Linked DNA regions of Callithrix jacchus. Each later gene encodes a partner of the first gene's protein in a complex. Links are inferred from orthologs where the notes say so. Each region holds a gene or a part of one and is shown on either strand. Other genes may lie near its edges. The genes, in order: GNAO1, P2RY2 and ADRA2A.

The links.
Region 2: the proteins of GNAO1 (region 1) and P2RY2 are in contact, whole or in part, in a cryo-EM structure (PDB 9K20), measured with the Homo sapiens proteins. The link is inferred for Callithrix jacchus from reciprocal best matches to the Homo sapiens genes GNAO1 and P2RY2. Residues at the interface, in NP_066268.1 of Homo sapiens: Ala31, Lys32, Asp33, Val34, Leu195, Gln305, Glu309, Glu318, Ile319, Tyr320, Cys321, His322, Met323, Val334, Phe336, Thr340, Asp341, Ile343, Ile344, Asn347, Leu348, Gly350, Cys351, Gly352, Leu353, Tyr354; in NP_002555.4 of Homo sapiens: Asn66, Ser68, His130, Arg131, Gly134, Val135, Pro138, Leu139, Leu142, Arg143, Met221, Arg224, Leu225, Ala229, Tyr230, Gly231, Thr232, Ser233, Pro237, Ala239, Lys240, Lys242, Ser243, Arg245, Thr246, Leu308.
Region 3: the proteins of GNAO1 (region 1) and ADRA2A are in contact, whole or in part, in a cryo-EM structure (PDB 7W6P), measured with the Homo sapiens proteins. The link is inferred for Callithrix jacchus from reciprocal best matches to the Homo sapiens genes GNAO1 and ADRA2A. Residues at the interface, in NP_066268.1 of Homo sapiens: Ile28, Lys32, Lys193, Asn194, Leu195, Asp218, Phe336, Thr340, Asp341, Ile343, Ile344, Ala345, Asn347, Leu348, Gly350, Cys351, Gly352, Leu353, Tyr354; in NP_000672.3 of Homo sapiens: Arg77, Arg146, Ser149, Ile150, Ala153, Ile154, Asn157, Leu158, Arg160, Pro162, Ile234, Ala238, Arg241, Arg383, Arg386, Phe387, Val390, Leu391, Phe444, Asn445, His446.

What each region holds. Positions count from the first base shown.
Region 1 is NC_133521.1:14,059,950-14,063,791, reverse strand, and holds the start of GNAO1 (guanine nucleotide-binding protein G(o) subunit alpha), read right to left. Parts: upstream 2,897-3,842; 5' UTR 1,999-2,896; coding exon 1,881-1,998; intron 1,695-1,880; exon of another isoform or gene 1,664-1,694; coding exon 1,621-1,663; exon of another isoform or gene 1,503-1,620; intron 171-1,502; exon of another isoform or gene 30-170; intron 1-29. UniProt on the Homo sapiens protein: Guanine nucleotide-binding proteins (G proteins) function as transducers downstream of G protein-coupled receptors (GPCRs) in numerous signaling cascades.
Region 2 is NC_133511.1:67,737,699-67,741,540, reverse strand, and holds the start of P2RY2 (P2Y purinoceptor 2), read left to right. Parts: upstream 1-1,480; 5' UTR 1,481-1,623; exon of another isoform or gene 1,624-3,798; intron 3,799-3,842. UniProt on the Homo sapiens protein: Receptor for ATP and UTP coupled to G-proteins that activate a phosphatidylinositol-calcium second messenger system. The affinity range is UTP = ATP > ATP-gamma-S >> 2-methylthio-ATP = ADP.
Region 3 is NC_133513.1:104,006,440-104,010,281, reverse strand, and holds the start of ADRA2A (alpha-2A adrenergic receptor), read right to left. Parts: upstream 2,497-3,842; 5' UTR 1,529-2,496; coding exon 128-1,528; 3' UTR 1-127. UniProt on the Homo sapiens protein: Alpha-2 adrenergic receptors mediate the catecholamine-induced inhibition of adenylate cyclase through the action of G proteins.

The DNA.
Region 1 (3,842 bases):
AGCTCCAAAGAAACCCCAAGCTAAATTACCCTTGGTTCAGAAGGGTGCGGCCAGCCGAAGGGGCCTCTTCGAAGAAAGCCCTAGGGAGCTCTCGAACAAAAATAAGAACATGTCAAGCCGATGGGGAAACTGTCTCCGAGTCGCTACTCCCTACCATCATGGCGCCGCCTAGAACCCGCTTGTCATGCCTGTTACACATGCAAGATTTTTTGCATCTTGGTTCTGAAACCGCAAGCATGCTTCGTCTCCCACTCCCAGCTTCCCACGAAAGGGGTTTTTATTTTCCATTGTTTCCCTACGCGATGCAATTACTTCGGCTACTCTGTCAAGTTGAAAAATAATCATTTTTGTTTACTGTACGGCAACCCCTAATTAGGAGCTGTGTGTGCACGAAGGTGTCACAGCAAAGCGACATGGAATTTTCGCTAAACGGTCTTAACGAACTCCTCCGTCCTGAACTGACAGGCCAACGGAAGCAGGAGGCCCCGAGGGCGCACACCTCTTTGCGGCCAGCCACCCCCTCCCCAAGCAAAGCTGCCTGTGGGCTCACCAGGAACTGCCGGGTGAATAGGGCAAGAAGCGAGCCTGCGAGTGGGAAGGAGGGGCGAGGCTCCTTATTGAGAAAGTGTGGAAGGGAAGGAATATCCCATTTTGTTTTAATTTTCAACCATCACTCAAATCCACCCCCAGTTAATTAGGAGGGGAAACTGATAGCTAAGGCAGAAGGGGGCGGCGGAAAGTGGGGCCTGAAATCCGCATTGTGAGTAGATTGCATGGAACATGGCCTATGCAGAGTGTAAATAAATACACTGATAAAGGCCACGGAGCGAAGGAAAACTGCGGGTATCAGGAGAGCAATGCTGGGAGGGTGGGGGAGGAGAGGAGCTGGGGGCAGCAAGGGGCGGACATTCAGCCTCACAGGCAGCTTCCCTCCCCCTTCCACCTCTACCTTGGATAAAACTGTGCCAGTCACTACCGCTTGGAAACCCACTCCTTCCCCTAGCACACGACCCCTCCCCTAATCCCCTCTTTTTTGGGGGGGGGCGAGGAGACGTAGAAAACACAGCCTCCAATTCAGCACCAAACGCATGAACAGCAGACACCTGATCCTCCACCCCAGTCTAGGGCTGGGTCCCCTCCATGTTAGCCAAGTTCAAAATCACTGCCCCAGGAGAAGAGCAGGGGGAAGCGGGATTACGGACCTTCGGGGATAGGGAGGTATGGAGGGAAGAGGAGAGAGAAATAGAGACAGAATGAAACAGAGACACAGAAATGGAGGCAGTGAGACACAAAATATTCCACAAGCAAGAGTAATGATCATATTCATGCCAATAGTGTGATGTTCTGATCAATATGGCGGACGCTGTCATTCATACAACTACAGGCGCTCCCCTTCCCCCTCCCAAAAAACACCCACCCGGTAGTTGGGGTGGAGGACCAAGAACCAACGTAGGGAGTGGGGGAGGGGAGTCAAATATAGGGGTGTGTGTGTGTGTGTGCGTGTGTGTGCACGAATTAAAAAACAGGCCTGGAGAGCAATGTGGAGTAAGCAAGGTAATAAAAACGATTTTAAAAATTATTCTTAATAAAAGTACAAATCCCAGTGCCACAGGGACTTACTTCATCTGCTTCACAATGGTGCTTTTTCCTGATTCTCCAGCCCCTGTTGGGACACAGACAGTGGGGAAAAACTGGTGAGTGTCAGCTTAAAGGAACGGGGGGGGGGGGGCTAAGGCATGCGAGGGGGTGGGCGATCCTGGGCACATGGTGGTGCCAACTTAGGGACCAGGTCTACCGGCTGCGGGTGGGGTGGAGGAGCTGGCGGCAGGGGTGCGGAGTGGCCGGGGTCGGGGGATGGGGGTGGTAGCGGCGGTTCTTACCCAGTAGGAGTAATTTCACATCTTTGGCGGCGCTGATGCCATCCTCTTTGAGGTTTTTCTCAATCGCCTTGCTCCGCTCGAGGGCGGCTCTCTCCTCTGCGCTCAGAGTACATCCCATGGTGGCCCCTTCCCTGCCACAGCCCGCACAACTCCGCTGGCACGGCTCCCCGGCTCGGCGCGCCCCCCACCCCCCCAGAGAGCAGAGCCTGGGCTCAAGGGGGGAAAATCACGATATCCTCTCCTGGGCTGGAAACAAAAATGTCGCGTAACCAGAACCCCCCAAAAAGACAGCCGCTAACAAGATTCCAGTAGCGGAGACTCGCGGCAGCTGGTGGGGATCTGGGGGTGTCGAGTCGAGGATGGCCGGAGTCAGGGGCTCCGGAGCCGAGGGAGGAGGCGCCCGCGGGCCGAGGAGGCGCGGGCTGCAGGCACTGAGGCTTGTGCACGACCCAAAATAAATAAAATAATAGTCGAGGCTGGAGCCGCAGCCGGAGCCGACGGAGGGTGGGGTGGGGGGCAGGGTGGGTCCTGCTGCCGCGGCTGCTGGAGGAGGAGGCGGTGGCGGCGGCGGAGGAGGAGGTGGCGGAGGCGGCGGCGGCGGCGCGGGATGTGGAGGGAGTGAGTTAGGGGGTGCTGCTAGTGCATGTGCATCGCCGCTCTTCAGCCGTCGGTGCGTCCGCGGCGCCTTCGCCGACCCCCGCGCGCTGGGCAGGGCTGGGCAGGGGGCCGGACCGGGGGGCAGGTCTCTAGCGGGAGGCGGCGTTGCGGTCTCCCAGAGCTCTCATCGCTCGGTGAGCCTACCGGAGAGAGGGAGAGCGCCAGGGAGCCGCGGCCAGCCGGGTGCTCGAGGGAGAGGGAGAGAGAGAGAGAGGCAGGGAGGGAGGGGAAAAAAAAAAAAATGGTAGAGCGAAGGAGCGCGCCCGCGCCAGGGCCCGGGTTGGGGGAGGAGGCGAGCGCAGAGCGCGAGTGAGCCAGCGACTCTGCGCACCCGGCTCCGCGGGCCGCCGGCTGACGTCAGCAGGGCCGCGCGCCGAGCCCCCGGGACTGGGAGAACGCGGGGCGGGGGAGGCGCGCGCCGGGGGTCCGCGTCAGCCGGCGGAGGCGCGCACGCGCGTTCGCGGAGCATCCTCCCCCCTCCCCCAAGCGCCCTCCGGGCCCGCGGCTCCCCGGGGGTGGGCGCGTGCGAGGCTGGCGGGGGCGGGGCGTGGGGCCGGGCGCGCGCCGGGGCGCCCTACCCCGCCCCTGCCCCCGCCCCACGCGGCGGCGGCGCGGACCTCCTTGTCAATGGGAGTGCTGGGCCGGGCAGGCAGCGCGGCAGTCAGGTGGGCCCCCCAGCTCGCGGCCAGCGCGGCCTCTGTCCCTCTCCCGCAGGCTCTCCATCTTGTCTCCCGCAGCCCGCCTTCTCCGTGGCTCTCCAGCTGCTGGGGCCGCAGAGCCGAGGTCAGGTTACCTCAGGAGACGCGATGTGGTAGTGGGTTGCAATAAAACCTCGCGCACCAGAATTCGCCTCTGGGGCGTGAGGACAGATTCGGACTTTTCGAGTCCTTAGTCCACATTTATAGAGCACCTACTATGTGAGAGCCAAGGCTGTAAGGAGAGGAATGCAGCGGGCCGAGAAAAGCCTGGGCCTGTTCTCCGGGAGCCGCTGCCTCCAGGGCCGTCGGCGACCCTGCTCGGAGATCCCAGCCGCCGCTCTCCGTGCAAGAGGGGTGCCCACCCTCGGAGGCGTGAGGGCCCGGAGCGGAGGGACAGGGCTTCAAGCGACCGGGAGCTTGCAGCAAACCCCTGATCCCTGAGCAGTTTTATTTAAAAAGCTTTTGCAGATGTTGGACGGTTTAGTCTGGTGGAGGCCTCTTTGCACTGAATTCTTCTGTTTTCCCCCTTCCAAACACACAAAATGAATTTTGAATAGATTCTGGATGAGAGATTTTCTTCCTTTTTTCATCTTCTGAAACATTTCCC
Region 2 (3,842 bases), on another chromosome or scaffold:
AGGGATGCAGTTTCCTCAGTTGTAAAGTAAGGGAGTTGGGCCACAGGAGGGGCAGAGCCCTGGGCAGGCCACCAGCCAGGTTTGCCTGCTGAAGGCTTAGGTAGAGCCTGGGTCCTCATCTTGATGTCAAAGAAACTGGTTTCTCCAGGGCTAAATGGCAGTGACAGTATAAGGTTTGAAGTTTTGGAAGGAAGAAGAGAAACAGGGAGTTGGCTGGAGTTCCAGTGCCTAAAGGAGCTTCCCCACACTGGAACCTGAAGACCTAGGCCCTGTAACTTGGGCTATGAGGATACTTAGGTCCCTGGAAGCTGTGCGGTGCAGCTTAGACAATAGGCAGAGGAGGCTGGACAAGGGGCCTTTGTGTGTCCCAAGCAAAGGTCCCAGCAGGACTGCAGAGGCGGCTCAGCCACACTAGGCTGTGTGTCCACTCTGCTCCTGCTCCTGGCTGGGCTGCAGCCAGCACCCTTCCTGGACCCCTCCTGGACTGGCAGCCAGGCCCAGTCAGCTGATGTGGAGCCCAAAAGGGCCCAAGGCCCCAGGGCCCTGGGCAAGCTCCTTGGCTACAGGAAGAGGCCTCCTCTGCACTTGTCCAGCAACGCTAATGATTGATTCCATTTCACAGGAAAGGAGACCCTGAGAGGGACTGGAACTGGGTCAAGGTCTCCCAGAGTCAAAGCTGAAGCTGGGCAGGAACCTACACTCCTGATTCCTAGACCAGAAATGATAGAGGGGGGCCCTCATTCATTCATCCATCCACAACTTCAAGGATTGAGCACCTCCCAGGACCTGAGTCAACAGCAGGAAGAAGGCAGACCTGGTCGCTGCCCTCGGGAGCTCACAGTATCGGAAATGGTCAGACATGGGGAAATGGTCAGACATCAGAGTAGGGTTGAGGGCGGAGAAGAGAGTTAAAGCAGCTCAAGATGAGGGGCCAAAGAGAGTTGGGAGTTCAGGGAGCTGCTGGTAAGATTAAGGGAAAGCAGGGAGCACGGGAGGCGAGATCCTGAGTGCCCTGCTTTCCTTCCCAGGGTAGTGGGGAGAGGCACCACCTGTCTCCACTTTCAAGCAAGGGAGGTGTGTCCTTAGCCTGGGGTTCGGAGCAGATCTCTCAGAGCAGGTCCCTTCCTGGACAGCCGGGCTGGGGCAGGGGCGCGACAGGGGTCGGGTGGCGCGGCGGCTGGGAGCAAAGGTCCCGCAGTGGGCCACGCAAGCGCATAGCGGACATGGCAAAACTTTGGCGTCTCTGAAAACCCCTCCTTACCCGCTCCCTTCTGGCGTGAGGGAGCCAGGAGGCCTCCTTCTGGCCGGGCAGTGGGACGGTCGCCGCCCGCCCCTCGCGGTGCAGCACCGGTACAGACGCGCTGACCCCGCGGCCGTGTCGCTGGGTGGCGTCCCCGAGCGAGTGGCGAGGTGTCTACCCAGGCGGGTTGGGGGCGGTGCCAGGGTCGGTCAAGAGTCCGCCCCGCCCCCTGCCTGGCTCGGCTGGGGAACTGGGCCGGGAGGAGGCAGCGGGGCTCCCAGGCACGTGGGTCTCTGCGGCTGCGGCGGCTGGACGCTGGCACTGGCACCTGGGAGCGGCGGCGACGGCACCCCGGGCGGAGGGGCGCAGCTCAGTGAGGAGAGGTGGGGCGCCTGGAGGGAACAGGGGGCAGGGAGAGGTCGGCGGGAGAGGCCCCTGGACGCGGCGGGCCAGACTGGGGCAGGTGCCGACTGGGCGCGGGGCAGAGGAGAGCCCTGTGGAGCCGCTGTCGCCCCGGCCACCGTTGCGAGCCGGAGTGCAGCGCATAACTGGACGGCTTGAGCGCGCCTGTGGGTCGGTAGTTGAACTTTGTCTCCACGGGAGCGTCGGTCTCGATGAGTGTGGACCGGCGCCCGGTAGTGAGGAGAATGTGCGCGTCCGCGTATTGGGGAAGTCTGCGTGTTAGCGGGTGTGTGAGCCACTGGGGGCGACTGGTCTAGCCTGCGGAACTTGTCTGTGTGTGCTCAGATGTGAGCGCCCCCGTGGCGTGGGGTGGTGGGCGGTGCCCAGAGACACGAACCCCTGGAGACCCACTGCCCCTGCCCCTGTCCTGCCCCCAGGGTCACTCTGGGTGGCCGCCTGCCATGGTAAGGTTGAGGGGCAGTTGCAGGGAGTGGGCAGGGGAGGAGGGAGTGGCGAGGAAGGACAGTTAAGCTTCTGTCCCGGGACTTTTAATCTGGCAAATGGTGCGGTAGGAAGGGTCAGTCAGGAGAAAGGCGATGCCCCACCTCCCAACCCAAGGGCTGCCGGTGGCCCTCTTGGGGTCCTCCAGGAGCGCAGCCCAAGGGCCAGGGACTGCTGGGAACCCGCGTTGCCTGCTCGGAACCTGTGGGGTCCGCTGTGCAGTTCCTCTCGGCATGGCCTCTCCAGATTCCTGGGACCACAGCCTGATCTACCTGGTTTGTTTTGGATCTAAGCTGAAATAATGATGAGCTTTTGAGGATCTGGGTGGAGCCCCAGGCAAGTTTATTACCTGTGGGGTGAAGTGGGAGGAAGAAGATTCTCTGAGCAGACAGGTCCACAGGAGAGCTCTGGAGACTTAGAGATCTATGTTCCAATCCTGTCTTGGCCACTCTGTGGCCTGGACAACGCGTCCTTTCTCTGAACCTCAGTGTCCTCCTCTGTAAGAAGGGACTAATGATATGGAATTTGAGGGCTGTTTAGGAGCAGAGTTTGTCTTGCTCAGCACCACTGTTCCCCCTGGGCAGGCTCACAGCTTGGGGATGGGAAGCTAGTCCCTGGAGGGAGCCTCCCAAAACCAGAATCCCAACTCTGTCCCTCCCTAGGGCACAAGACTTCCACAGGACCAAGCCTGAAGCCTGTAGCCTGGGACTTAAGGCCTCTGATAACTGGGGCCTGCCGATCTTTCCAGCCACCTCTCCCGCCTGAGTCTTCACCTTGCAGCAGCTGCCTGTAGTCTCTCATTTCTTGCCCCTGGCCTACTGCATATTCTATACTCCCTGCCTGATAAGCCCTCCTACTCCTTCCTCAACTGGAGAACTACCCAGACTTGGGACCCAGCTCAGATGTCCCCTCCTCTGGCAAGCCTTCCTTGATCCCCCCCCAGCTGTGTAGGAGCCTCTTCTAGGCCCCTAGAGTCCTGGTGCTGACAGCCCTCGTCCCACCTGGACTGTCATGCTCTATGTCTGCCTCCTCCTTTCTTCTTTGCAGGTCTAGGGGCTCCTGGAGGGCAGAAACTGGGTCTGACTCATTTCTGTGTTGCCAGCACTCTGCACAGGGCTGAGCTGAACTGAGAGAACAGCAGGTTTCTAACCCCAGCTTCTCCAGTAAAGGCTTGGCTGCAGAGGAGCTCCATGTCACTACAAAAAAGGGCAAACCAGAATCTGGTTACCTGCTACTGGGTGGCACAGGTTGCCAGAACAGTGTGATCTGAGACACTATAGGACCCAGAGTGCCCAGGCTAAAGACCTAGATTTCATCCTGAAGGCAATAGGGAGCCATGGAAATTTATGAGCAGAGGAGATTCATGGTCAGAGCAGCATTTCAGAAAGAGCTCTCTGGCTGCAGGATGGAGAATGGATAAAGAAATGTCAAGGACAGGAGGTCAGGGTGTGTGTGATGTTGACACTAGAACCGTCCCAGGGGTTGTTTAAACTCTAATTGAGCCCTTGCCCCTTGGCCAAACACTTTTCCCTGAGCCTTCAGATGCTCCTACTGGGGAATTTGAGGACCTGCAATTGATCTCGTCCCAGCTCTGCTCCCGGCTTGTTGGATGACCAGTTCCTGCCCTGCCAGGCTCTTAAAAAAGGCCAGAACAAGTAAGATCCTGCATGGGAGAGTATGTGTGTGGCACAAAAGGCTT
Region 3 (3,842 bases), on another chromosome or scaffold:
AGAGCAACCCCAGGCGAGGAAACGCAGAGCAGGCAGGACCCGGGTCTCCGAGCGCCCTGGGGCTGAGCACCCCCCAATGCCCGCTGCCTGCGGTCGGCACGAGTCTACGCGAGCGCCCGCAGAAAGCTCACACGATCCGCTTCCTGTCCCCCCGGCAGAGGATCTTCTTGAAGGCGCGGCGGAAGTCGTGGTTGAAGATGGTGTAGATAACCGGGTTCAGCGAGCTGTTGCAGTAGCCGAACCAGAAGAAGAACTTGAAGAGCGTGCGCGGCACTGAGCACCCGACGGCCGTGAGCGTGTAGGTGAAGAAGAAGGGGAACCAGCACACCACGAACACGCCGATGACCACCGCCAGCACGAACGTGAAGCGCTTCTCGCGGTTCTGACGCCCGCGCCAGCGCGACGCCTTAGCAGCCCCGGCGCGCTCCTCCCCCGGCCCCGCCGCCGGCATCCCGAGCCCCGTGGCCCCTGGCCCGCGCCGCGGCAGGCTGTCCCCCGGCTTCACCTGGCTTGCCCGGGCCTTGCCCTTGGCCCGGGGGCCGCGCTCATGTCTGCGGGGCCCTGGGGGCCGCTCGGCGTGGTCCGACGACGAGCTCTCCTCCAGGTCCAGGGCGTCGGCGTCGCGCGGCCCGGCCGGCGCTGGCTCACCCGGGGCGCCGTTGAGCTGGGTGGGCAGCGGCTCGGCCTCAGCGCCCGCCAGGCCCGCGCCGCGCTCAGGGCCCAGGCCGTTGGGCCTGCTCTCGGCGCCCCCCGGCGGCGCGGCGGTGGCGGCGTCTGGACCCCGGCGGCTGGGCGGCACGCGGGTACGACGCTTGGCGATCTGGTAGATGCGCACGTAGACCAGGATCATGATGAGGCAGGGCGCGAAGAAGGAGCCGATGCACGACGAGATGACGTACCACTTCTGGTCGTTGATCACGCAGCGCGGCTCGGCCGGCTGCTGGCCGTCGCCGCCGCCCTTCTTCTCGATGGAGATGAGCGGCGGGAAGGAGATGACGGCCGAGATGACCCACACGGTGACGATGATGGCCTTGATGCGGCGCGGCGTGCGCTTCAGGTTGTACTCGATGGCCTGCGTGATGGACCAGTAGCGGTCCAGGCTGATGGCGCACAGGTGCACGATGGACGACGTGCAGAAGAGCACGTCGAGCGCCAGGTAGATCTCGCACCACGCCTTGCCGAAGTACCAGTAGCCCATGACCTCGTTGGCCAGCGAGAACGGGATGACGAGCGTGGCCACCAGGATGTCGGCCGAGGCCAGAGACACCAGGAAGAGGTTTTGGGGCGCCTTGAGCGCGCGGCTCGTGAACACGGCGATGATGACGAGCACGTTGCCGAACACGGTGAGCAGCATGAGCAGGCCGGCCAGGCACACCAGCGTCAGCGTCACCTGCAGGGAGTAAGGGGTGGCCCGGGCGCCGCCCCCCGGCGCCTCGGTCCCGTTCCAGCTTGCGTTGCCGGCGTCCGGCTGCAAGGAGCCCATGGGCGCAAAGCTGCCCTCGGACAGCGGCTGCTCCTGGCGGAACATGAACGCGGGTGCCCGCTCGCCTGGGCCTGCTGCCAGCTGCCTTCCGGCCCGGCGCCCGTGGGTCCTCCTCTTCCTCCGGCGCCCCGCTCGCCTGGCCGCGGCTCACATAGGGAGGGGGCCGCAGGGAGGCCGGGCCCGATCTAGGGGACCGCTAGCGGCCCATGGCCCGGATCCCGCGAACTGCGCCTGGCCCGCGCTTCGGACGCTCTCGGTGGGCGCCTTCTCGCTCGGAGATCCTAACACAGCCAAGTTTTATTTCTAAGCGGCGGGAGAGAGTAGGGCGAGCCGATGGGTTAAGAGAGATTTATTCTTCAAGAAGAGAGAACAAAAATCATCGGTGGCCTGATAACTTGGAAGGATGACAGGAAATTAAATATACATATACATATCAATATCTATATTTTGACTCTTGAGCCTGAGCGAAAGCAAGAGGTCTTACCGTGTGCGGGGCCCGCCCCCACCCCGGAGGCAGCTGAGGGGTGCTGATGCGAGCTCAGGGTCCTATGTCTGTCTCCTTAAATCCCCGAAGCGATTACCGACTCTCTGGCTTCCCCCAGACGCTGCGGTGCTGGCCGGGCCCGGCCCGGGTCTGAGGCGCTGACTCTGCCGCCTCTCGGAGCGCCGCGAGACTTCCAAAGTTGTGCGCCCTGCTGCGGCTGGGGCGCACTGTGCTGAGCTCGGGGGCGGCGGCGGCGGCGGGGTGAAGAGTGTGGGGGCCGCATGAAGGCACCCCGGTCCTCAGGCGGGCTGGGGCAGGTGAACGATCAGCTCTTCAGGAGCCGCGACGGAAGCAGGGGATCTCCTGGGCGTCGGCTTGGTGGGAGCCGAGAGCGGCTGGATGAGCCGGGGACCGAGGACAGCGCGAGTTGGGGCAGGAGCGCAAGGCTGGGGAAGAAGGCGCTGGAGTGGCCGGGCGGCGGCGCGCCGACTGCTCGGCGTCTGCACGGAGACGGGGCCGCTGCTGCTCCGCTGCGCTCACGGTGGACACGTTTTATAGCCCCAGGATCAAGCCGGCGTTGCTGAGCAGCCGGCGTCAGCCCCCACGTGGGAAGCCGACCCTCCCCCGCCCCTCGCACCACCCCTCCGCCAGTCTAGCGCCCGCGCCCAACGTGGGACCCGGGGAGCGTCGCCCTCAGGCGAGATGAGCCCTTTGGAGAGGCGGGTACCTTGAACCAGAGGCTTAAAGGGGGTGGGGTCAGAGAGTGGGGAAGCGGCCCCTGCTGGGAGTTGGCGGTGCAGCTCCGGGCCGACGGAGCAGAATGCAACGGGCACCCGTGAGTGCCCTCTTGGAGGTGGATCTTGGAAGAAAGGGGAAGAAAGAGTGGAGGGGAATCCCGGCCCAAATCGAGGGAAGCAACCTCTGGTGTGAGTCACAGCTGGAGCCTCCTAGCCCCGAGCCAGAGCGGACCGGGCCCGCCGGTGCTCCTAGCGGCTGGGGACAGAGGGGTCCTGGCGAGGGAGGAAGGCGCGGGTTCGGATAGAACGCCTGGGGCGGAATGGACAGCACCCATTACGCCCGGAGGCCAGAGTTCAGAACTCCGCTTAGGGGAGAAGTGGCTACGTGTCCTCCCAGCCGCCCAGCTGTCTACGGGACACGCGCGACCTGGGGTCTGGACTGCGCCCCTTAGACGAGGTGGGGAGGGGGTCCTGGAGCCGAGCGCCAGGGCAGAGCGAGGACGCACTGACACCTGCTGGCCGCTCGTGGTCACGGCTGGAAGCGACCCGCTGACGCCGGGCGCTTTCTCCCTTCTCTTCGATCTTCTGCCTACAGAGCCTTCTCCTATCTCAGAACAAATTGTGTTCTAAGCTCAGAAAAGGAGAACCCAGATTTTGAATTGCACCCTGCCGTGTTGCAGAAATCTTCCTAAAGCAGCGCTAGTGTGTCTACTCCTGGCGGGAGTGAGGGTTTGTCTAATAAAGAAGTTACATCAGGAAGGGCTCCGCAGGCACCGCCGGCCAGAACCAGCATCCTACCCTGGACCTGCACACCCCACCCTTCCTGCAGATCCGAGAGAGGACGGGATCCTGCCTCCTGGGTTGCCCAGCTCTGACCTGCTGGGAACCATTATGTTTTTGTTAAGGCAAGAAAGCTAGACTCCACCCTCCCACCCCACCCCCATTCAGATGCACATACACAGCATCCTTCAGTAAGGGGAGGAGGGAGTGGCCAAGGAACATTTTCCATGTTCTCTCTGATGGAGGTGGGGGCAGCAGAGAAAGGCAAGTTTTTCCGTGCGTGCTAGTTGTCCTAGGATTGATTCAAACGGTCACTAGAGCACTAGCTTGCACTCTGCTAGCTGCACTTTTCAGATGA